3 linked regions of the Elephas maximus indicus genome follow. The protein of the gene in region 3 interacts with the protein of the main gene of each other region in a pairwise test. Links are inferred from orthologs where the notes say so. Each region holds a gene or a part of one and is shown on either strand. Other genes may lie near its edges.

Region 1 (7,526 bases), on a different chromosome or scaffold from region 3:
CAGGCACTCCAAGGCCTGCCCCCTCCCCCGCCCAGCTCCTGCACCTGCCTGGATGCCAGGCCTCAGTTCACCACTTGGTCCCACAGCCCCAAGGACTGGTGTCTACACTGGCCTCCTTTGCCTCCACACCTTAGCTCTCCTCAGGCCTCGGCCCTGCCTCAGGCCTTGGGCTGTCTGTGTCCATCCTTGCTCAGGCTTCTGGGCACTATGTTCTGACTGTGTTCCTTACCAGACTGAAGCCCCCTGCTCTGAGCATCTAACCCCATAGATCCCTCTAAGAAGGGTGGACATGGGGCTGTGGGCTGAGTGCACCTGTAAGAGTGAACTGCTTGCCCTGGGAGGAACTGGGAAGCTGTGGGGTGGCCTAGCACATGGAAGTAGAGAAAGCAGGGGGAATGAGGCAGATGAGCAAGGAGAAGAGAAACAGATTGTCCAGAAAGAGAGAGACAAAAGGCCGGACAGATGCTACCTTCTTCCTGCTGGCATACCAGGTCCTTGGGAGGCCTGGCGGTGAGCTGGCTCTTGGTGGTTCCAAGAGAGTTTCCTGATTGTTTACACTGAGTCCTCTTTTCCTTAAGCTGATGGCACAGTGGTTAAGAGCTCAGCTGTTAACCAAAAGGTCAGAAGTTCCAATCCACCAGCCGCTCCCTGGAAACTCTATAGGGCAGTTCTATTCTGTTCTATAGGGTCACTATGAGTGAATCAACTTGACAGCAATGGTTTTGTTTGTTTTTCTTAAGCTAACTCAAGTAGTTTTCTGTTGCTAATGGTCCAAAGGTCTTTGGCTGAGATGAAGCTGCCAAAGAAGTGGGGATCTGTGAGTTCGGTTAGTCACACTGCAGGCTGATCTCCAACTGCTATTCCTGGCTGGATAGAGTCCCAGCCCTGGAAACATGGGGATGCTTCGGCCTCTTTCTCATTACCCCCTACCCCCTTGGCAAGGACATCTGGAAGGGCTGGGCCCTCCGTGAAGGCACATTCTCCAGCAGTCTGCTGGAAACTCCCTGGGTGGCCTCTTGAACCCTATGGAAACTCCATCCTCCCCCTGTACTTTCCACCATGGCTTCCCAGCTTTTCACCTCCCTGCTGGCTTTACCTTCTACTTTGCCTCTGGGGCCCCCCAAACCTCTTGTTCTGTTGGTCTTTGACCTGGAGTCCCCTGCCCTCTGCTCTCTCCACTGAGCCTGCCAGAGAGACTCCTGACGTTGGAAGGTGGTGTCCACCACAAACCCAGAGTGGGCCCGGCAAACCTGCCACCTGATCCTGGAGGCATCTACTGCCTGGCTGCCCTCCTGCCTCCCCACATCCACTTGTATGCAGCTCATGCAATGATGTGCTCTCCATTCACAGGTAGTCCATGATCAAATGTCCCTGTGCCTTTTATCCTTCTGCATCCTTCCCTTCTGCCCTGGGAGGAGACATACCTGCCCCCTCAACCTGGGTCTTCCATTCTCCAAAACTTTGATCCCTTTCTTCCCACTTTCTCCAAGCTCTCAACACTGGCTCCTCCTCCTTAGAGGTGTTTCTAGTCCTTGGCTTCTCTCCATTTCTCCACTTTTCTGAAGCAGTTTTCCCATAACTTCCCACCAACTTGCCTTTGCTGTGTTAGACAGATGTCATCCTCAAAGTGTTTGTGCTTTTTCAAAGAAAGGTGCTCTACTTTGGGAAATGGTTTTTAATCCTGATTTCAAAAATTTGACTGACTTCTCATCACTCTCTCTTTATCAAGGCCCGGAACATGTGATATGCCAAGCTTGCTTTCAGTCAAGCCTAGCTATTGCTATGCAGTGTGGTATAGTTGTTATGTCCTTATTTGTTAAGCACACCAAGGCAGAGTTTGAATCCTGTCCGTGCAATCTTTGGCAACTCACTTCACCTGTCTAAACCTTCAATTTCCCATCTGTTCCTGCCTCTTATGTTTGCTTATGAGGATTAAAAGAAGCAATGCATGCCAAGTTGCTGGCTGGGAATGGACTCAATACGTGGCCATTCATTTAGCTCACATGTGTTTACTGAGTACCTACTATGTGCCATAAATGACATGGACAGATCTTCTTACCTCTGTTTCACACATGAATCAAATAATCGTAGAAAGATTTACTTATAATTATGACAAGTTTGTCAGAATAGGAAGTAGGGGAGCATACGTTAGGGACACCTGGCCTGGCCAGAGGAGACAGGGCTGAGATTGGAAAGGCAGGAAGGAAGAGGGAACTGCATGGTGGGAGCCCTGAGGTGGGAGAGAACAAGACCTGTTCCACTTTGGCTGGAGTGATGTTAAGTTGAAAAGGCTGCAGGAGTTTTATTACTATCCTACAACCCCTGGGAAGCTCCTAGGGTTTCATAAGTGCAGTGACATGGTCAGATTTTAAGTTTAAGAAGCTCACTCTGGCTGCAGTACTGAGAGTGGCAAGAGTAGTAAGCTGAGAGATGATGTGAATGTGAGAGATCTCTATGAACTTAATTTATATGAAAGAGTAATCATCTCCAGTTTCCAGATAAAAAGGCTGGACCTGGTTAGAAAGGTTAAGTAACTTGCCAAGTTTACACACCTACTATATGGCAGAGGCAGGAGACTATGACTCCAGAGACCATTTTCTTAATCTCTACTCAACCGTACCTGGGGCACTGTGGTCTATCATTGTCACAGTGACATTGATTTCTCACCTGTTCTTGGGTCAGCGCAAAGATGCAAACACAGTAAGATAAAGGCCTCACTACACTTACCAATCTCAGTACTGCAGCCAGAGTGATTTGCAGTAATTTATAGTAATTTACTACCCAACCTGGTTTGCCTTTTAGTTTGCCTGCTGATAGAGTTGTTGGTGAAGACCAGACGTAGTAAGTAGGAAAAGCAGTGAAGGACTTTACACCACTGTCAATGGAGTAGCCTCCTCACAGAGATACAGATCCAGAATTATCTTGGGAAACAACAACCTGGGATCAATTGGATATAAAATATATAACCCCTATTGGCCATGACTTGGAAACCCTGGTGGCATAGCGGTTAAGAGCTATAGCTGCTAACCAAAAGGTCGGCAGTTCAAATCCACCAGGCGCTCCTTGGAAACTCTATGAGGCAGTTCTACTCTGTCCTATAGGGTCGCTATGAATCAGAATCGACTAGACAGCAATGGGTTTGGTTTGGTTTTGGTTTATTGGCCATGACTTAATAGGAAGAAAATCAACCATTTTACTGAGTGCTAAGTGCACATGCATTATTTAATTACATGCCAGCTCTGGGGGCCATTAGAGAAGGGAATCCGAATGTCTCTATTCCCCAGACAGGGAAACTGTGACTCTGGTAGAGGAAGGAACTGGTCCAAAGTCTTACAATGAGCTACTGAGAGAGATAAACATGGAACCCAGGTATCTATATTCCTAATAAAAGCCCATTAATAATACAGCACTGGAATGAAGAATAAAAATATGAAACAGTTTGGTGAGAGTTAAGGCGTCTGGAGGAAGTTATCAGTGGACTGGATACCTCTCTTTCTGTGAAAGAGATACGGCTAAGGGGCGGGGAGGATGTAACAATTCCTCCCTTAAAAATCCCTTCTGCTCATGCCTAAGGAGATGCTTCTTTAGCAATTTCTTACTCATCCGAAGGCCTGAAAAGCACGGGATCTGTGTGCTAATTCAGAGAAAAAGGTCACAGAAAAGAGTCATAAAGGGGGCGCAGTCTGGCCCCTTCGAGGTTTCTCGGAGTTGCAGTTGCCCGCTCTCACCTTTCCAGGTACCGACTACGGGGCTGTCTCCACTCAGCAGACTCACCGCCCGGTTGCTAGGGGAACCAAGCGCAGCCACTCGGTTGCTATGGGAAGTCAAAAGGTAGACATCCTGGGTGAAAGTTGACGGGTCACTTGACCCAATTTCTAGGCGGGGAAATATTCCTCACACCAACCAAGCGCAGACAAAACAAACGTCTCTCCAATCAGCACGCTCTATGGGCGGGGATTTTCCTAGCTTCACCTCCTCTCCGCCCCCTAGATGGATGATTGACTCATATTTTATCCAATAATATAAGGACTTTCTAGATTGACCAACATCTAGATGAATCAAAATGGAAAACCTAACGTTCGGAGGCGGGCAAAGGGGGATGCCGCTACGCCCGACGGGGACTCCTGGCTCTTCGGCCCAATCGCTAGCCGCGGGGTAGGTGGGGCTTCGCTGAGGACGTAAGGCCAGTCAGAGGAGGGCTGCGCAGGCGTTGCCCAATAGGGAAGCGACAAGGGGGTGGGGTTGAGGGCCCGGGGCTCGACGTTCCTGAGGGTGGGGCGGGGGCAAGTGTCAGTCAGGTCCGGAGCAACACTGGGGGACAGCGGAGACCGCGGCAGCAGACACGGCCTTAGCCGGCTCCCCACCCAAGATGGAGTTCCTCCTGGGGAACCCGTTCAGTACCCCGGTGGGGCAGTGTCTCGGTAAGGCCGCGCGTGGGGGCGGGAGCGGCGGCGGCGGCGGACTGGAGCTGGCGAGGGCCGCGGCCCCTGCCGGGCGCCCGTGCCACCTCACGGTGAACCTGGCATTCTGGTCGGCGGGCGGAGCATCCTGGTCGGCTGGCCTTTGCCCGGCACCGGTGCATGCTGCTAGGCAGCGCCCCTGAGAACCGGCTCGGTCTCAGGATGCTCCGCGCGTTCCTACCCGTCAGGGCCCAGCCCTTCCTGGCTCTTCTAGAGCGGCTGCCAACTGCTTGTCTGCTCACTGCCTCCCCCATTAGGAGGTGCCACTGTGAGCATCCGATCCAGCCAACAGTCTCGCCGCCACTGCCCCTAGGACCCAGTTTTCCCAGCCCCTGTGGGATGTCACCGCGGTAGCACCCCGCCCCCGCGTCTCTCTCCATCCTTGTCCCCTGTTCCAGTTCCAGCAGCCCTCAGAGTGGGCACTCTGCCCTAAGACTTTCTAATTTGAGCTGCTACTCAGCAAGGCTGTAGAGGTTTGGAATGGGGATTCGTAGGGTGTGCTTGTCCTGGCAGGCGTGGCGTGCCTGCAGAGTCTCCCGGGAAAGAGGGAGCCTGTGTCATTTAATGATAAGAGCCCTGGTCTGGGAGTCAGGAAGCCTGGACTCCAGTACTGGCTTTGCCAGTGACTTTACAGATGACCTTGTGCAGTCACCACCGTTTCTGGTTTAAGTTTCCCTGTCTGTCAAATGAGGTGTTTGGAGGTGAAATGTGCTAGGTCCTTCCAGGTTCTAAAGTTTTGATATTCCTTGTGGTAATCTCTGCACATTGCAATTGCTCCCTGCTATATTAAATTTGCTAATGCTGAAATCTTTTGGTGGCATGGGGGGTTCTTGTTAATCCTGTAGTGGAGCTGTGGGCATCTGGAAAGGAGCACCAGAGGCGACTAGTATCCTGGATAAGGAAAGCCCAAGGAGTAGGTGAAAGAGCACTGAAGTGGCTACCATGTGGGATTTCCCTACTAAAAGAACAACTTGCCTTTCATCAAGACAGGACCTTATGTTAAGTGATCAGTAAAGAATGTTGCTTAGTATCTTTTCAAACTGGGTGCCTCCTGGTTGGTGGAAGGACCGGTAAAACGTCTTTTATGAGCAGGGACCTTTGTTGTCCGTATGGGTCTGACTGGTTTAGGCAGTAGTGATTTATTTCCTGTTTTGCTTATGAATTTCCAGCTTTTAGTGGGATCTGTGAAATTTTAGAGGCCTCTCCTGTTGGTTAACTGGCATTTGGGAACCTCACTTTCCTTTCTGGTGAAGTGTCTTTTAAAAGGATGATGGACATTGGGCCCTGGAAGAGACTTTTCCCAACTTTATGACACTTTACCTCTTGGTCCCACTGAGTGCCTCTCACCCACCTTTCTTCTTCCTCATTGCCTTTTCCACTTTCCTCAGGGGCTCTTTCATTCAACTGTATTCTACAAACTCACTGTGCAGATGGGTGTTGAATTCCAGCCAGCTCATGGAGGGAGCAAGTAAATAAGGAATTTTTTTTTAATTTTTTGTCTCCTTTATAATAGGAAGTTACACACTTTTGAAATGTCATGGTAGTTAATGAAGGATATAAGGTAAAGGAGATTTTAAAATATAGCAATATAATGGGTGTAGGATAAAAAGGAAGTGGAAAGCATGGATGCTTCTGTCAGGAAGACCTGAGTTTAATTTTGATCCTGCCCATTTATTGGCTGTGTGATTCAAGAAAAGTTTTTAACCCTTCTAGCCTTAGATTGCTTAATTGTTGAGAGAAAGAGAAAAAGAGAGCAATAAAGAGAGTGGGAGACTAAAACTCACAGAGTAATGAGGATTAAGTGAGATAATGTATTGAAACACTTAGCATAGTACCTGGAACACAATAGAGGCTCAATAAATTAGTTGTCGCTGTTAATAAGAGAATGATTAAGTCAGGGTTGACTGTTCTTATGTAGATGGGATATGGAAAAACTACTGGCCAATCTGTTATCTGTGAAGGAAAGTACCCATCTAGGCTCCAGAGTCTACCATCCCTTCTAAGAGACATTTGACCATAAAGAGAGTGAAGGTTCCTCAGTGACACAGGGGCCTGAGAGACCTGGGTCCTGGGGGTCAGCAGTGGAGAGACTGCTGGCTGGATAAGTGTGCTCACAGTGGCACCTCAGTGGGGGAGAGGGTGAGCAGACAGGCAGTGGGCACCAGCTCTTCACTCTGTCCTCTAACCAGTTATCTCAACTGAGAAAACTCAGTTCAGTTCAGATAAATGGTTAGAGGACAGAGTGACATTCTAATGTATATTCAGTCTATACTGTTGTGACAAAGATGTAAATGTGATTTTCATGACACCTTAGTATTAAAAGTATGTGCCAGGGAGGCAGCATCACTCATTAAAGACTGCATGTGATGGTAATTTTTGTTTTTTTTGTGATGGTAATATCAACTAAGTGGGTGTTAAGTATGCCCCTTTGCCACCTCAGGAGCTCTGGTGGTGCGGTGGTTAAAGTGCTTGGCTGCGAATGGAAGGATTGGCTGTTTGAACCCACAAGCCGCTCTGTAGGAAAAAGACGTGACAATCTGCTTCCATAAAGATTACAGCCTTGGAAACCCTATGGGGCAGTTCTGCTCTGTCCTACAGGGTCACTATGAGTTGGAATTGACTTGACAGCAGCAGGTTTATATGTCACCTACTGGTGGTGCAGTAGTTAAGAATTACAGCTGGTAACCAAAAGGTCAGCAGTTCGAGTCTACCAGCTACTTCTTGGAAACCTATGGTGCAGTTCTATCCTGTCATATAAGGTCACTATGAGTCAGAATCAACTCGACCGGGTGGTGCAAATGGGTAATATGCTTGTCTATTAACTGAAAGGTTGGAGGTTCAAATCTACCCAGAGGTGCCTCGGAAGAAAGGCCTGGTGAGTTGCTTCTGAAAGATCACAGGTGTTGACAACCCTGTGGAGCACAGCTCTACTCTGACACTTGTGGGGTTGCCATGAGTAGGACTCAACTGGATGACAATTTTGTTGTTGTTGTTGTTTTATATGCCACCTGTGGGGGGGGAGGGGAACACAGAAATAAAAGAACAACAAAGGTAAGATTAAAGACA
Region 2 (7,411 bases), on a different chromosome or scaffold from region 3:
ACAGGTTTCTTCACTGCAAGGCTTCTCAAAGCCTTAATTACACTAATGAGCTGTGATTTTCCAAGGAAGTGCTATATTCCAAAAAAACCTATTGCTGTCCAGGCAGTTCTAACTCATAGCGATCCTATAGGACGGAGTAGAACTGCCCTACAGAATTCCCAAGGATTGGCTGGTGAATTCGAACTGCCGAACTTTCCAGCCGAGTTCTTAACCACTAGACCACCAGGGCTCTAAGAAAGCGCTGTGATGTGTAGCATTTCACAAACATATAATGGAAAATTTTTCAGCAGTATTTTTCTGAGGAATGCTCTCTAGAATACAGACTTGATTTTTTTTCCTATTCTTTTTGTGTACAGAAACCTTGGTTATACAGTAAAATTGTCCATTGTATTTAACAGGAGAAAGTTGTAACTATCAAAAATGACCTCTAGGTCCTTTGTTATAATTTCCTCCACTGTTGAAATTGCTCTAAAGATTTCCCCAAAACTGTAGATAAAACTTCAAATAAACATTTAAATATATCCTCAAAAACAAGTGTGTGCTTCAGTTTCTGTAGTAATGGGGTAGTAAAAATTTTAAACTTGCGACGGCACTGGGTTCTGGGTTAAGTTCTCTTTGTTTTCAATCTTTTACTTTCTGCTTGTAAATTGATAGATATTCATTGGGAAATTGTGTTGGCTTAAAATATCTAAACTGAGAGATTTTCCCCTCCCCCCCAAAAAAATCATAGTGGAAAATTTAAGTTTCAAATGCTTAGCAGTGGCAGGTGGCTTGTACCTGTTATCCTGCAGGGAAGAATAATTTATATTTCTTAGTCTTCCTCTAGAAAAATACTCCTTTACTAATCTTACAGAATATGTAGAATCGCATACATTTTTACCTTAATAATGTGAACTTATCCTTGCATTTAAGAATCTACTGGAATTGGAGAGTCAGCACTAAATTAAAAGATGTTATAAGATTGTTTTCCTCCTTATACAGAGGAAGATAGTGATTTCCAAGGTGTAAAATTATCTGATAATCTAAGATTATATACTTATTTATATTATATACTTAGTACTTTGTGCTTTGGAAAGCCTACTGGATTAAGAATCAGAAGACCTGAATTCTATCCACAATTCTGATACTTTTTTGACAGTGGAAACAATTGTAATTTTGATGGTGGCAGAAACCTTGTCTGTTTTACTAGTGTTAAGTTCTCAATGCTTAGCAAGGATATGAACTGTAAGCAAAAGCTATTTGCTCCCTTAATTAATTAATTAACTAACCCTTCTGTACCTCATTTTTCTCACTGAAAAGTGGGGGTGTTATATGTATCCTGCCTACATTAGTGGGTAACCAGGGATTCCGGGAAAAATTATAGCTCATATGCCAGAAAACTATTATTATAAGCGGTCAGTAGGGCTGAGATTTAGGACTCAGATTTAGTTATCTGGATCCACAGGAGGTTAATCTACTTCAGACTGGTCCTTAGTAAGCCTCTTGGCTGATTTTTCAGGTTGAAGTAAAAAAAAAAAAGTGGAAATAATATTTTGAAAGGGTTGATTTAGAAGTCATTGTTGTTTAATTTTTACCATTTATGTTATTGTGACAGAGCAAACATATGGGTATTTTCAATGGTACGTGATCCAACAGTTACTCATACTTGGCATTTAAATGTTTTTGTACTTTTATTTTGAATAAATGGGTACCGGGTATTCTGATAATTGATCTAAAAGAAAAGTCATAGCGATATTATCTGGTTCCGGATTTCCTCATCTTGTGTCCCTGCACCTTAATACATATAGGCTGACCTTGCTCTAGATTTATACCACCTTTCCTGAATGAAGACATTTACTTAACAAAACTCAGTGGCATACCTACTGGGTGAATGACACGGGAATAGAAAACTGAGTAAGTTCAACACAGGTGAATGGGGGAAACAAGTATATTTGGCACAACGTGATAAGAATTAAAGGGCAGCTTCCTGTGACTTCCTTTCCTACCCAGAGATAACTTGCCCTCCACTCGGAGTTGGAAGCTATCAACCATGAAGGTCATTTCTTCTGGTATAGACAACTATTTTCCACTTCAGCGTGTACACCTGGAGGGCTTCAACTGTTATTCTCTAGAATACGCAAGTAATGAAAAAAAAAGAAAACAATGACTGAAATCTTCCAACTACCATCAGATTTGAGGAAGGTAGCTAGATGCAACTATTCATCACCAGGATAATTTTTAAGTTGACACTCTTTTGGCTCTTTAATATAGTTCCTGACTTTTTCAGTGCTTGGCCCTAACACCTTTCTGGCTCAGCTGTGAGGTTAGCTACCTAAGAAGCTGAAAATGCAGTAGGAAATCTCAGGAGACTGAGAATTTATGGTGAAGAAAAGTTAACAGTATTCAGACTAGACCAAGGTCATTAGTCACAAATAACTAAATGTATAAAATCAGGCAATATAGACATCTATCTAGTTTAGCCAGTCAGCCAGTCTACTGGATTTTCCAGGCAATAAATGGTTACATTAACCATCCAGCTTTTCTTAAAATGCCATCAACATCAAGGGTCGTTTAACTGTTATGGACAAACTAAAAACACAGCTTTCATAAATCTCAGGGAAAACTCCCTTCTAAGATATAAAATCCAAGTTCCTCTTCTTTTGTAAGAAAAAGATCTATTTATTTTAAATGATATTTATCTTGTGTTGTTTGACTAGATGAATGACAAATAATATAGTCATTTTAACATTAATGATCATGAAGCTACTAAGAAATGTCTAATCCCATGAAGGAAAGCAAATTCACCTAGTTTTGCCCTTCTGAACAGCATGACAAGACCAATATTAGTTTTTTAAGATTAAAATAGCCAAAAGAATTATTCCACAATGAAATGAATTGGTAACATTATCACAACCCTTGTGATCCATTAGAGTGGGGTCAATATTAACAACAACGAACAAGAGGGGAAAAAAAATCCCTTTATGACAGTAATTTAAATAATGACAATTTAAAGACAGTAATAATTCATTGTAATTTAAATGCTAAAATTATATTTAGCAAAAGGGAATTTTTGAAATAGAAAACATTTACTCATCACTAAAAATTGTACAGCATCCTTCTTTATATTTATTATTCATTCACAGTTGGCATGCTTACGTGCAGATACACATTTCCTAGACATAGAAATCTAGTAATTCTTTTTAGGATTTCATTCTATAGGTAGAGGGAGATCCACTAATGTTTTCAGGGTCAAATCTAAATGAAATTAGCTAGTATTTACTCAACCCAATGTTGAAGAATTAAAGAACCTTTACTGTTCCCTAACTAGATTTTGAAATTTTGTCTTTTAGATCTACACCTTATGTTGAGTAATTCTGTATTTTACTCTTGAAATAAAAATAGTCACCCTTTATCCTTCAATTTAATAAAGGTCTTAAAAGTTACTATGTTAAGGTATTCATTTTAAGAATTTAAAAGATGGAGTAGAACAAAATCACTCCAGAAGGGTTAGTCATCACCAAGGCAGAGGTGAGGAATGATCACAACAAAACATTTCTCAGGGGATAATTTAATAACATTACTAAAAGTGTGGGTATCCATATACCGCCTAAATGATTAGGAAAGGGGTTATTAGCTAAGTCACTGTCTGAAACCCACTGAATCACTAGTCCCTTTGAAAAAATGATTGGTCCTTTTTTTCTGAAGATGGGTTTTAAAAAGTAAGCTAAGCTGAAAGATAAAAAGAACCCAGATCTTGCACAGTTCTAGATATCTCTTCATAGGCCAAGAAGTAAGGTAAGAGATCAGATTTTGCTTCCATAGTTTTAAGAACCAAAATCAATGAACTCTGCAAGATAGACTATTAAGGTCACCCTAAATTTTAAACATTCATTTAGGTCAGTGATTTGAACTGGGGCAGGAATTTTCATATCTAGAAGGCAAGCAATAAAATATTTGGGCAGTTTACACTATAAATAAATATAACAATTTAAAGTTTTAATCTATTTCTCTAAATTAGAAAAATGTTAATTCAGTATTAGACTTCTAAGATTATTTGGTATTGGACTGGTGTTGTCAGATCTTTATTGTAGTACTTTTTAAATATAGACATTAAGTTTCTTTCATATTAAGGATCCAGTTGGTTGACCCCCATCTTGAGCCTCCCATTGCCTGAATGACCCACTCCATCAGTGTAGAGCAGCACCAGGAATGAGTTGATCTTATTCACTAACCTATTCAACTGTACAGTATGTCTCTAAATGAGTCATTTGGTTAAGCTGAAAAGACAGGCAAACAACTTGGTTTTTAGTAAACAGCTGTTCTGGAAAAAACAATAAGTTCTGTTTTAGAGATTAAAAATATGTCTTTTTCATTTTAAATTCTAAATTAAATTTAAATTAACTTAAATTCTAAAATATAAGTAAATTAGTCCTCTGAACAGTATCAACTAATTTTATTACTATAGAGATTTTTTTAGTAGAGAGTCTTTTTAAAGCTAATTATCACATTAACTTATTTTCTAGGTATTTCATCTGAAAATGAAAGTAATAATTCTCCTTGGGCTCCTTGGAGCCACACTGGCAGCCCCAGTAAGTGATTTCATGCTACAACTGATCTTATGCTATAAAACCTATAACAAACCCATCTTTTACCACTTCTGGTTTTATTTTTAGCTTGTCCCACAGCGCCTTGTGTCAGCAAGCAACAGCAATGAGGTTAGTTGAAATACTTAAAACAATCTCTACTTTTTTTTTGGGTTTTTTTTGGAAACCTGGTGGGGAAGAGATAAAGAGCCTTCACTTGATTTATCTTCGATTCCTATCTACCAGCTTTTATGCATATCCAAACACATTTTCAATTTTCATGCTTGCTTTGTATAAAGGTCATTTCTACAATTTTAGTTTTGCCTTCCTCCTCTGATTGTACATTCTTTATAGAAGAAACAAGAGCTTTTATATCTTTTCATTCTAGCAGCAGCTAGTACAAGTGTAGTATATAGGTGTTTAAGAGCGTAAAATGACTGACTAAAGCCCTGGAGTGGGCTAACGTCATATAGTCTCAAACGTAGCAGGGGAGAGGTTGTTAAATGCCAGGCCTGTTTTCAACTCTAACCTCTAATCACTGTAATTTTATGTCAGCTTAATGAGAAAATGTCTCACTTGTAACAAGAAACCGATCGACCAGTTATGACTTGCGCTGTATTTGTGGTAAACATAGTTCTTAACAGTGTTAGCATGTGTCATAATCTTATTTTCGTATCATCTTTCCCTTTCTAGCTACTTCTGAATCTTAATAATGCTCGGCTTTTGCCACTACAGTTTCAGGTACCTTTATCTCAGTAATTATTTTAAGGGGTATCTTTTTCTACTCTTCATTTCGTGTGAGGATTTATATGAGAAGAAAATGTTCTCTGATTCCATTTTGAAATCTTGATTATTAAAGTTATGAATTTATCCCACATATTCTTATGACTGAAGAGTAAAGTGAGAAATTAGAATCTGATTAACATTTCTTTATTGAGGACTTTGTATATGCCAGGCAGTAATTCTCACAACAATCCTGTGAGATAATTCAATGAACTGTTTTACCTAAAGTCATGCCCAGCTGCCCAGTGCGGGGGGGGGGGGAAACAAGTTTTGAAACCAGTCTGGAAACTGCAGAATCTGTGTTCTTTTATCCACTCATTCTACCCTCTATTTCTCACAAGCATTGGGAATTTAGCTGTGCCTCTTGTTATTTTTTTTTTTCTTGTTATTTGCATGGCTCAAAATCTATCAATTTGCTTTTCTTTTTTTATAATGTAGCATAATTTTTTTTTTTTTTTTTTTTAGCATAACTAGAAATATAGAAACTGCTTACATTGTGACTCTTTGTTGCTCGGGATGGTTTTTAAGTTCTTTTTGACATGAAAGAAAACACTTTCTTTCCTTTGTGTCCTTCCAGGGCCCATTTAATTCATTGACTCCTCCTTTCTCTGGGATCCTGCAACATCGACAGCAGGCTCAAGCTCCTGGACTGTCCCAGGTCTCTTTGCCAACCCTAGATCAATTTGTTGGACTGTTCCCAAATCAGGTACCTTTCCCAGGACAAGCCAATTTTGCCCAAGGACCTCAGTGGGCCCAGCTAGACCCCTCACAGGCTCAAATACCACTGCAGACCCAACAGGGCCCTAATCGCGTAAGTTGGGACTTTTCTATCTTTTTGTTCTGAAGTGAGATAGAGATACATTGACTGTTAAAGTGAGTACAAACATGAAGTAAGAAAGGAGTTTTCGAAAAAGACTTTTTTCTCATAATATGTTGTCAAGTCAATTCGGACTCATAGTAATCCTACAGGACAGAGTAAAACTGCCCTATAGGGTTTCCAAGGCTGTAATCTTTACAGAAGCAGACAGCCACATCTTTCTCCTTTGGAGTCACAGAGTACACTTAACCATGGCCTCCCGGGTTTGAACCGCTGACTTCACCGTGAACTTAACCACTGTCCCACAAGTACTTCCTTATCTTTTTTATTCCTAACATGAAAAATACTGTTCATGCTAGCTATTCTTGGATCACAAACCACAAATCAGAAGTGTTTATGTTTTGGAGAAGAACATTCAGGATATTTCATCTAAGCTGCAAAAGCAATTTGCATCAACAATGGTACATATAGTGTACGACCTTTCATTGTCGTCAAGTCTGGTAATACAGATGATAAATTTCTATGGATAGGTCTATGAAAAGAAACCCATAAATTCTGATGGTCAAGTATGACTTTTTTATGATTCCTTTCTTGGCAGGTGATGCCTTATGTGGTCTCCTTCAAATTGCCCCAAGAGCAGGCACAGGTAAATGAATAGTATGCCACTGGAGAGATGGTTCTGAATGTTTTATTTTATATTTCAGCCCTGATTCCTATTACAAGACTATAAAAGCCATATAATGATATCACTATCTGGGTACCATCATTGCTGGGCTAGCATTAGTTAGTCACTAGTAACAGTTCCTGAATTGAGCGCATCTAGGGAGTCCCCAGGGCTCTTGGGCTTCCAAGGCATTGCTATGTTGGAAATAGAGGAGCTCACTAAGCCCTATGTCATGCCTTCTCTGCACCAAAAGTGTTGGCATTTGGAAACAACTCAAGAGTATTAGTCCATGGGCTGTTTGCTCAACCCTAAATTTTGTTTTAGAGGTAGATGGATTAAACTGGCATTGTACAATATTTAGACATGAGAGCATTTGCCCGTATTTTCTGGCTGTTATGAAATTCAGGTTAAAACTTTTCTAGGTTCTTGTATATTATCAATTAAATTCTGCATTTTACTATCAAATGGTAGTGATTTCCATTAGAGAATCTAAGAAAAATTAATGCAAGCTAGTAGAATCACTATATTAGTATAAAAAATCTTCAAGCATTTGGTAGTCAATTTTATAATATCCTAGGTTCAGAA
Region 3 (8,159 bases):
TCCAGCTTCTCAGATTGTTTGCTCAGCATACAGATTGTATGGTGAAAGGACACAACCCTGATGCACACCTTTCCTGACTTTAAACCAATCCGTATCCCCTTGTTCTGTCCAAACAACTGCCTCTTGATCTATGTAAAGGTTCCTCATGAGCACAATTAAGTGTTCTGAAATTCCCATTCTTCACAATGATATCCATAATTTGTTATGATCCACACAGTCGAATGCCTTTGCATAGTCAATAAAACACAGGTAAACATCCTTCTGGTATTCTCTGCTTTCAGCCAGGATCCATCTGACATCAGCAATGATATCCCTGGTTCCACGTCCTCTTCTGAAAGCGGCCTGAATTTCTGGCAGTTTCCTGTCCGTATACTGCTGCAGCCGTTTTTGAATGATCTTCAGCAAAACTTTGCTTGTGTGTAATATTAATGATATTGTTCTATAATTTCCTCATTCGGTTGGATCACCTTTTTTGGGAATGGGCATAAATATGGATCTCTTCCAGTCAGTTGGTCAGGAAGCTGTCTTCCATATTTCTTGGCATAGACGAGTGAGCACCTCCAGCGCTGCATCTGTTTGTTGAGACATCTCAATTGATATTCCATCAGTTCCTGGAGCCTTGTTTTTCGCCAATGCCTTCAGAGCAGTTTGGACTTCTTCCTTCAGTACTATCGGTTCCCGATCATATGCTATCTCTTGAAATGGTTGAACATTGACTAATTCTTTTTGGTACAATGACTCTGTGTGTTCCTCCCATCTTCTTTTGATGCTTCCTGGGTCGTTTAATATTTTCCCCATAGAATCCTTCACTATTGCAACTTTAGGCTTGAATTTTTTCTTCAGTTCTTTCAGCCTGTGAATTCCAGGTGTGTTCTTCCCTTTTGGTTTTCCATTTCCAGCTCTTCGCACATGTCATTATAATACTTTACTTTGTCTTCTCGAGCTGCCCTTTGAAATCTTCAGTTCTTTTACTTCATCAATTCTTCCTTTTGCTGTTTTCCTTGCTGCCAGCATTTTTATAGTTGAGATTTTGTCAAATTTGCTGGTGTTTTAGCTATAATATTGTGGTAATTTTAGTATTTGTGAGCCTGTATCAATAACTTTTTTGACAATGAAGTACTAATTTAAAAAAAAAAGGAGTGATACATGGTCTTATGGATTGAATTGTGCTCACCCCAAATGTGTATCAATTTGGCTAGGCGGTGATTCCCAGTATTGTTCGATTGTCCACCATTTTGTCATCTGATGTGATTTTCCTGTGTGTTATAAATCCTACCTCTGTTATGTTACCCAGTGCCGTCGAGTCAGTTATGAGGTAGAATTAGTGGCAGTTATGTTAATGAGGCAGAACTCAGTCTACAAGATGAGGCTGTGTCTTAAACCAATCTCTTTAGAGATATAAAAGAGAGAAGGGAGCAGAGAGACATGGGGACCTCATACCACCAAGAAACAAGAGCCAGGAGAATAGCGTGTCCTCTCAACCCGGCGTCTCTGCACTGAGAAGCTCCTTGACTGGGGAAGATTCATGACAAGGACCTTCCCCCAGAGCCAACAGAGAGAGAAAGCCTTCCCCTGGCACCCTGATTTTGAACTTCTAACCTCCTAAACTGTGAGAATAAATTTCTCTTTGTTAAAGCCATCCACTTGTGGTATTTCTGTTATAGCTGCACCAGATAACAAAGACGTAGGGGAATTACAATTTACAAGTAACATTAGTATAAAAAACATTACCAAGGATTCTGTATGGTCTGGTCCATGTGGGGGGTGGGGTGATATCAACCCTAGTGACACCACTGCTCTATGTGGACCTTAAAGGAATTCCTTATGTCCAGTAGCTTCAGGATCGATACGGCTGAGGTGTTTGGCAGAGAATAAGGGGAACGTGAAATGAATGGTAGCAGAAGGAAGCTTTGGTTATCATCTTGGACCTCATTAACAGGTACAGCAATAGAGAATGTTGCAGCTATATTTTCTGTTTATAATTTTCAATAACAAAACACTCTTGATAACTAATGCTTCAATTTTTACTCCAAGTAGTAATGTGACTTAATTGACATCATCCACAAAAATGTGGTAAAGGATGAGACTGCATTTTTGCTGTGTTGGGAACACCAGATTTTTTCACCAGAAAAAAAAAAAAAAGTGGATGTCCAGGTGCAAAAGAGGTGGACTGTTTTTTTTCCAGTTGCCCCTCCAAATACATTCTCCTGCATGGTATATTGCAAAATTGTATCAATCTTCCCCTCCTATAGAGAGTGAGATGTGCTTTCCCACCCAAGGCCCCAGCTCTCCTCAGGTGGCTCATCACTCTCACTAGACTGATTGTACTAACAACTTCCTTACATCAGCTCTTCAGCCCAAGGGATGGTGCTGTCCACTAGCTGGTTCCTCTGTCTTTTTGTGGCTTGACAGAGCATTTCTTTTTATTGCTGAATTTGTTCCCCTGTTTTTTTATGGATGTATCACAGTTTGTTTATCCATTCACCTACTAAAGGACATCTTGGTTGCTTCCAATTTTTGGCAATTATGAATAAAGCCGCTACAACATTCATGTTCAGGTTTTAATATGGACATACGTTTTCATCTCACTTGGGTAAATACCTAGGAGTGTGATTACTGAATTGAATGGTAAGCCTATGTTTAGCTTTATAAGATACTACCAGACTGTCTTCCAAAGTGGCTGTACCATTTTACATTCCCACTAGCAATGAGATACCTTGTTGGTTGCTTTACCACTATCTGTACTTTTGTACGGAGCCCTGGTGGTGCAGTGGTTAAGAGTTTGGCTGCTAACCAAAAGGTCAGCAGTTCGAATCCACCAGCCGCTCCTTGAAAACCCTATGGGCAGTTCCACTCTGTCCTATAGGGTCCCTATGAGTTGGAATCGACTCAATAGCAATGAGTTTAGTACGTTTGTAAAAAATCTTCATTATTGTGTGCTGTCAATTGAAGCCTTTGAATTATGGCGTTGGCAAAGAATATTGACTATACCATGGAATGCCAGAAGAACGAACAAACCTGGAGTGGGAGAAGTACAACTAGAGTGCTCATTAGAAGCAAGGATGGTGAGACTTTGTCTCATATCCTTTGGACATGTTATCAGGAGGCACCACTCCCTGAGAAGGACATCATGCTTGGTAAAATAGAGGGTCAGTGCAAAAGTGGAAGACCTTCAACGAGATGGGCTGACACAGTTATTGCAACAATGGACTCAAACATAGCGATGACTGAGAGGATGCTGCAGGACCGGGCACTGTTTTCTGTAGTACATAGCGTTGTTATGAATCGGAATCAACTCGATGGCACCTACCAACAACAATCTTTATGGGAGCAGATCATCATGCCTTTTCTCCCATGGAGTGGCTGGTGGGTTAGAACCAAGGACCTTTCAGTTAGCAGCCAAGCACTTAAGCTTCGTGCCACCACGGCTCCAAAATAATCATTAAATGCCTCTAATTATCCTTTTAAGTGTGACATTTGATAGCCTAACCCAGTGTTAATGTGCTGCTGGGCAGCCATTTATACCAGGAGGGCATAGAAAGCATTTCTAGGAGGAAGTGACTGTGTCAATTCTGCTGTAGCTCAAGAAAGATGAGTACTGGCAATTGACCACTAACAACATGGAGATCACTGAACACCTTGACAAGGGTCAAGGGGCTGGGGGCAAAAGCCTGGCTGGAATGGGCTTCAGAGAGAATGTAGGAAGAGAAATTGGAGTCAGAGTATATATATATATATATTTTTTTTTTTTTTTTTCAGAGTATATTTTGAGCCATTTAGCTGTGAAGTGATGGAGAGAAATAGAAGAGCAGTCTCAGGCTCCTTCTCTTGGGAACACCTTCTATCTTGTCCATTTATTTAAGTGGCCCACCCACTTTCCAAAGCCGGCTGAAGTATGTCAGCCCCCATTCCTCTCTCCTTTAGCTTGGCTCCTACAGCTCTTTTTTTTGGGGGGGGGGGTTAAATATTAATACTCCTCCACCCAGACACAGCAGCCTCAAAGTAAATGGAGTGCTTGAGATGATGTCTTTCTGAATCGCCATCTGTTTTGTTCTCAGCCCACTAAGCACCACAGTTCTCCCTTCTCCAAGAAGGATCACACGCCTGCTGGTGGTGGTTCTAGCCACATGTGAGGACCCTCCGCTGCTGTCTTTCGCTTTGGGCTCCTGCCCAAGTGGGAGAATTTTCCCCGTAATGACTGGCACTTCTGACCACCTCCGGCTGGCTTGCTGTTCCTGCGACTCAGCGATTCCTCAATGGGAGCAGTCCCCTCTGGAGGCCTTTGGGCCCCTCAGCCCTGCAGTCCTGCTGACCCCCACCGCCCCTGCCGCCAGGTTCCCGGCTGACAGGACTCCCCGTGTGGGCCACCCCTCGTCACTCCATCGTGTTTCCTGTCCGCCCTCCAGGTCAGGGCCGGTTCGCCCTCAGGGCCGGGCCACCCTCAGGACCGGTTCACCCTCCGGGTCAGGGCCGGTTCGCCCTCCGGGTCAGGGCCGGTTCGCCCTCAGGGCCGGGCCACCCTCAGGAAGGGTTCACTCTCCGGGTCAGGGCCGGTTCGCCCTCAGGGCCGGGCCACCCTCAGGACCGGTTCACCCTCCGGGTCAGGGCCGGTTCGCCCTCAGGGCCGGGCCACCCTCAGGACCGATTCACCCTCCGGGTCAGGGCCGGTTCGCCCTCAGGGCCGGTCCACAGGGGTCGCCTCGAGGGGTACGCTGCCGCTCGGCGGCTCTTGGCGCCTGCAGGGCCACGCGGGACGACGGCAGGCCCCTCGGCTGTTCAGTCCTGTCAGCAGACGGGAGAGGCCCCGCCCGGGTAGGGTCAGGCGGAGCGGGTCCTTTGCCCGCCGCGGGAGAGCCTGTGAGACGCCACTGGCGCGGGTGGCGCGCCCAGGCTTGGGCATGCGCGCACGGCCGCGACGGGAGCCATTTCGCGGAGCCGGCCGGCCGGAGGAGACGGCGACTGCGCAGGCGCCCGCCGAGGCCCGGCCCACGCGGAGCTGGGAGCGCGGGTCGGACAGGCGGCCGGAAGGGGCGAGGCGGGCGCGGCGCCTGCGCAGTGGGGGCGCGGCCGGGCGCGTGCGCGGTGCGGCGGCGGCGGCGGGGGCGGGCCGCCGTCAGCTGACTGGGGCTGCGGTCTCGCGGTGACAACCGTCGGCTTCGCAGGCTCCGGCGGGGGCGGCAGGGTCGCCGGCGGGTCCGCTCTGGGGTCGGCGAGGCGCGGAGCCGCCCGCAGCGCCATGGCGACCACCGTCAGCACGCAGCGCGGCCCGGTGAGGTCTCCCGGCGGGGGCGGCGGGGCGCGGGCCCCTCTCCTCAGCGGCGACGGGCGCTCCTCAGGCGCCCCTTCCCCCGCGCAGAGCGGCGGCCTCCGGTTGGCGGCCCCCCCCAAGAGCTCCGTTTCCTCCGTTGCAGATGGGAGGGTGGGAACCGAGCGCCGCGAAGGGGCGCCCTGCTCCTGAGGGGGGGCGTCTTCCCCGCCGCGGTGTTGGTGACGTCGCTGGAGGGCTGGCGCCGACCGACCGACCGACCGACCGACCGGGACGCCCTGGGGGTGAATGGCCGGCGGCGGCCGCCTCCCGCCGGGTTAGGCCGGTCCTCTGAGGCCCGGGTTGTGACGGCCACGCTGGCGAGCGCTGACGAGACAGCGGAGCAGAACTGCCGTGGGGGTCGCGTTTGGTCCTTGTAGGTCGTGGTTGTGCCGCTTCACTCGGAAGGTCCAGGGCTGGGCGGGGGCCGAGGAGCTTCGCGGGAGCCGGGGTTGTCCGGGCGCCCACCCTTGAAGCTGGACATTGGTTAAAGAACCCTTTTCGTGTAGCGTTTTTTCCCAGTTGGGAAGGAAGACGCAGGCGTGTTAGAAGCCCGTCTTGGGGCACAGGGCCTTTTTAAAGTGGGAAAGTAAGCTGCCTGGCGGACATCGTACCGAACCGGGCGTGGGGCGGTTCCAGAGGCAGCAGGGGCATCTGTGGCTTGCTTCTGATTGTCAGTGTTGCCATCTCTTTGTCTTCAGCCAGGACAGGGAATTCCAGGGGGATGGCCGGTTGCAGTTTTCTCATTTTTCGTAACTGCCTGGTAGAGAAGCAAGGGAACCATGACTTTTAAATTAAGGCTCCCATCTTTGTGTCCTCGAGAGCTGTGTGTGTAATGGTTGAGCAGGGCTTCTGGGGCTGCTCGGCCAGTTCCTTGCCCTGTCACTTTCTTGCTTGTCTCATACACCTGGGACGTGTTCTCAGCCTCCCGGGGACTCATTTCCCTTGTCTGGAGCAGTAGGACCTACCTCACGTGGTGGGGTGAGGGCTGACTCATTGTACCTGTTTACACTCCCGGGAACTTATCTCCCTTGTTTGGAACCTTACTGACCTCAGTCCCAAGGCCCCTTGCCACCGTCACCAGCCCGTCTTCCACCCAGGTTCTCGGGCTGACAGCACTTCTGGTCAGTCCTTAGAGCTCCTCTCATGGGTGTGGAGCTGGCCCCCTTCCCGCTGGGCTGAGCTTAAACAGGCACAATGCCTAGCTCAGTGCCTGGCATAAATTGAGCTGTTCCTGTCGCCGAGGTGATTGGAAACAGTCATTAAGCTCTGTGACTACATGAAACTGAGATAAGCTACGTTCTGTAATGAGTAATTGGGGGCTTCAGAGAAGATTCAGGTATGTAGGACATGTGACATCAAGGTAGTGACGCTTTTGTCTGATGTCTTTCCACAGTGCTTCTGGGGCTAGTGTCTGTGTGTAACACGGTTGTGTAGATTGATGTCCGTACACTGGTGCACAGGCTGGTGTCTTTGTGTGGCACAGTCCTGTAGATTGATGTCTGTACGTTGGTGCACAGGCTGGTGTCTGTGTGTGACAGTCGTGTAGATTGATGTCTGTACGTTGGTGCACAGGCTGGCGTCTGTGTGTGACACAGTCGTGTAGATTGATGTCCGTGTGTTGGTGCACAGGCTGGCGTCTGTGTGTGACACAGTCCTGTAGATTGATGTCCGTGCGTTGGCTCACAGGCTGGTGTCTGTGTGTGACACAGTCATGTAGATTGATGTCTGTGTGTTGGTGCACAGGCTGGTGTCTGTGTGTGACACAGTCATGTAGATTGATGTCTGTACGTTGGTGCACAGGCTGGTGTCTGTGTGTGATGCAGTCATGTAGATTGATGTCCGTGTGCTGGTGCACAGGCTGGTGTCTGTGTGTGACGCAGTCATGTAGATTGATGTCCGTGTGCTGGCGCACAGGCTGGTGTCTGCGTGTGACACAGTCCTGTAGATTGATGTCCGTGAGTTGGCGCACAGGCTGGTGTCTGTGTGTGACACAGTCCTGTAGATTGATGTCCGTGCGTTGGCGCACAGCCTGGTGTCTGTGTGTGACGCAGTCATGTAGATTGATATCTGTGTGTTGGTGCACAGGCTGGTGTCTGTGTGTGACACAGTCCTGTAGATTGATGTCCGTGTGCTGGTGCACAGGCTGGTGTCTGTGTGTGACGCAGTCATGTAGACTGATGTCTGTGTGTTGGTGCACAGGCTGGTGTCTGTGTTTGACGCAGTCATGTAGACTGATGTCCGTGCGTTGGCGCACAGGCTGGTTTCTGTGTGTGACGCAGTCATGTAGATTGATGTCCGTGTGTTGGTGCACAGGCTGGTGTCTGTGTGTGATGCAGTCATGTAGATTGATGTCCATGTGTTGGTGCACAGGCTGGTGTCTGTGTGATGCAGTCATATAGATTGATGTTGGTACACAGGCTGGTGTCTGTGTGTGACACAGTCCTGTAGATTGATGTCCATGTGTTGGCGCACAGGCTGTTGTCTTTGTGTGACACAGTCATGTAGATTGATGTCTGTACGTTGGTGCACAGGCTGGTGTCTGTGTGACGCAGTCATGTAGATTGATGTCTGTACGTTGGCGCACAGGCTGGTGTCTGTGTGACGCAGTCATGTAGATTGATGTCTGTACGTTGGTGCACAGGCTGGTGTCTGTGTATGGCACAGTTCTGTAGATTGATGTCCGTGAGTTGGCGCACAGGCTGGTGTCTGCGTGTGACACAGTCCTGTAGATTGATGTCCGTGTGTTGGTGCACAGGCTGGTGTCTGTGTGTGACACAGTTGCGTGGGTTGATGGTCATCCGTTGGTGCACAGCGCATGTAGATGTCCAGCTATCGTAGAAGAGCCCTCCTT

Evidence for each region.
Region 1: the proteins of TOLLIP (region 3) and TOM1L2 interact in binary tests that used the Homo sapiens proteins (3 or more experiments, as listed by UniProt). The link is inferred for Elephas maximus indicus from reciprocal best matches to the Homo sapiens genes TOLLIP and TOM1L2.
Region 2: the proteins of TOLLIP (region 3) and ODAM interact in a two-hybrid assay, tested with the Homo sapiens proteins (2 studies listed by BioGRID and IntAct). The two-hybrid records come from large-scale screens. The link is inferred for Elephas maximus indicus from reciprocal best matches to the Homo sapiens genes TOLLIP and ODAM.

The regions. Positions count from the first base shown.
Region 1 is NC_064820.1:214,375,954-214,383,479, forward strand, and holds the start of TOM1L2 (TOM1-like protein 2), read left to right. Parts: upstream 1-4,279; 5' UTR 4,280-4,369; coding exon 4,370-4,421; intron 4,422-7,526. UniProt on the Homo sapiens protein: Acts as a MYO6/Myosin VI adapter protein that targets myosin VI to endocytic structures. May also play a role in recruiting clathrin to endosomes. May regulate growth factor-induced mitogenic signaling.
Region 2 is NC_064823.1:87,838,089-87,845,499, reverse strand, and holds the start of ODAM (odontogenic ameloblast-associated protein), read left to right. Parts: upstream 1-4,164; 5' UTR 4,165-4,226; intron 4,227-4,502; 5' UTR 4,503-4,517; coding exon 4,518-4,568; intron 4,569-4,652; coding exon 4,653-4,694; intron 4,695-5,255; coding exon 5,256-5,303; intron 5,304-5,922; coding exon 5,923-6,156; intron 6,157-6,760; coding exon 6,761-6,808; intron 6,809-7,411. UniProt on the Homo sapiens protein: Tooth-associated epithelia protein that probably plays a role in odontogenesis, the complex process that results in the initiation and generation of the tooth. May be incorporated in the enamel matrix at the end of mineralization process.
Region 3 is NC_064825.1:136,634,443-136,642,601, forward strand, and holds the start of TOLLIP (toll-interacting protein), read left to right. Parts: upstream 1-5,098; 5' UTR 5,099-5,236; coding exon 5,237-5,269; intron 5,270-8,159. UniProt on the Homo sapiens protein: Component of the signaling pathway of IL-1 and Toll-like receptors. Inhibits cell activation by microbial products. Recruits IRAK1 to the IL-1 receptor complex. Inhibits IRAK1 phosphorylation and kinase activity.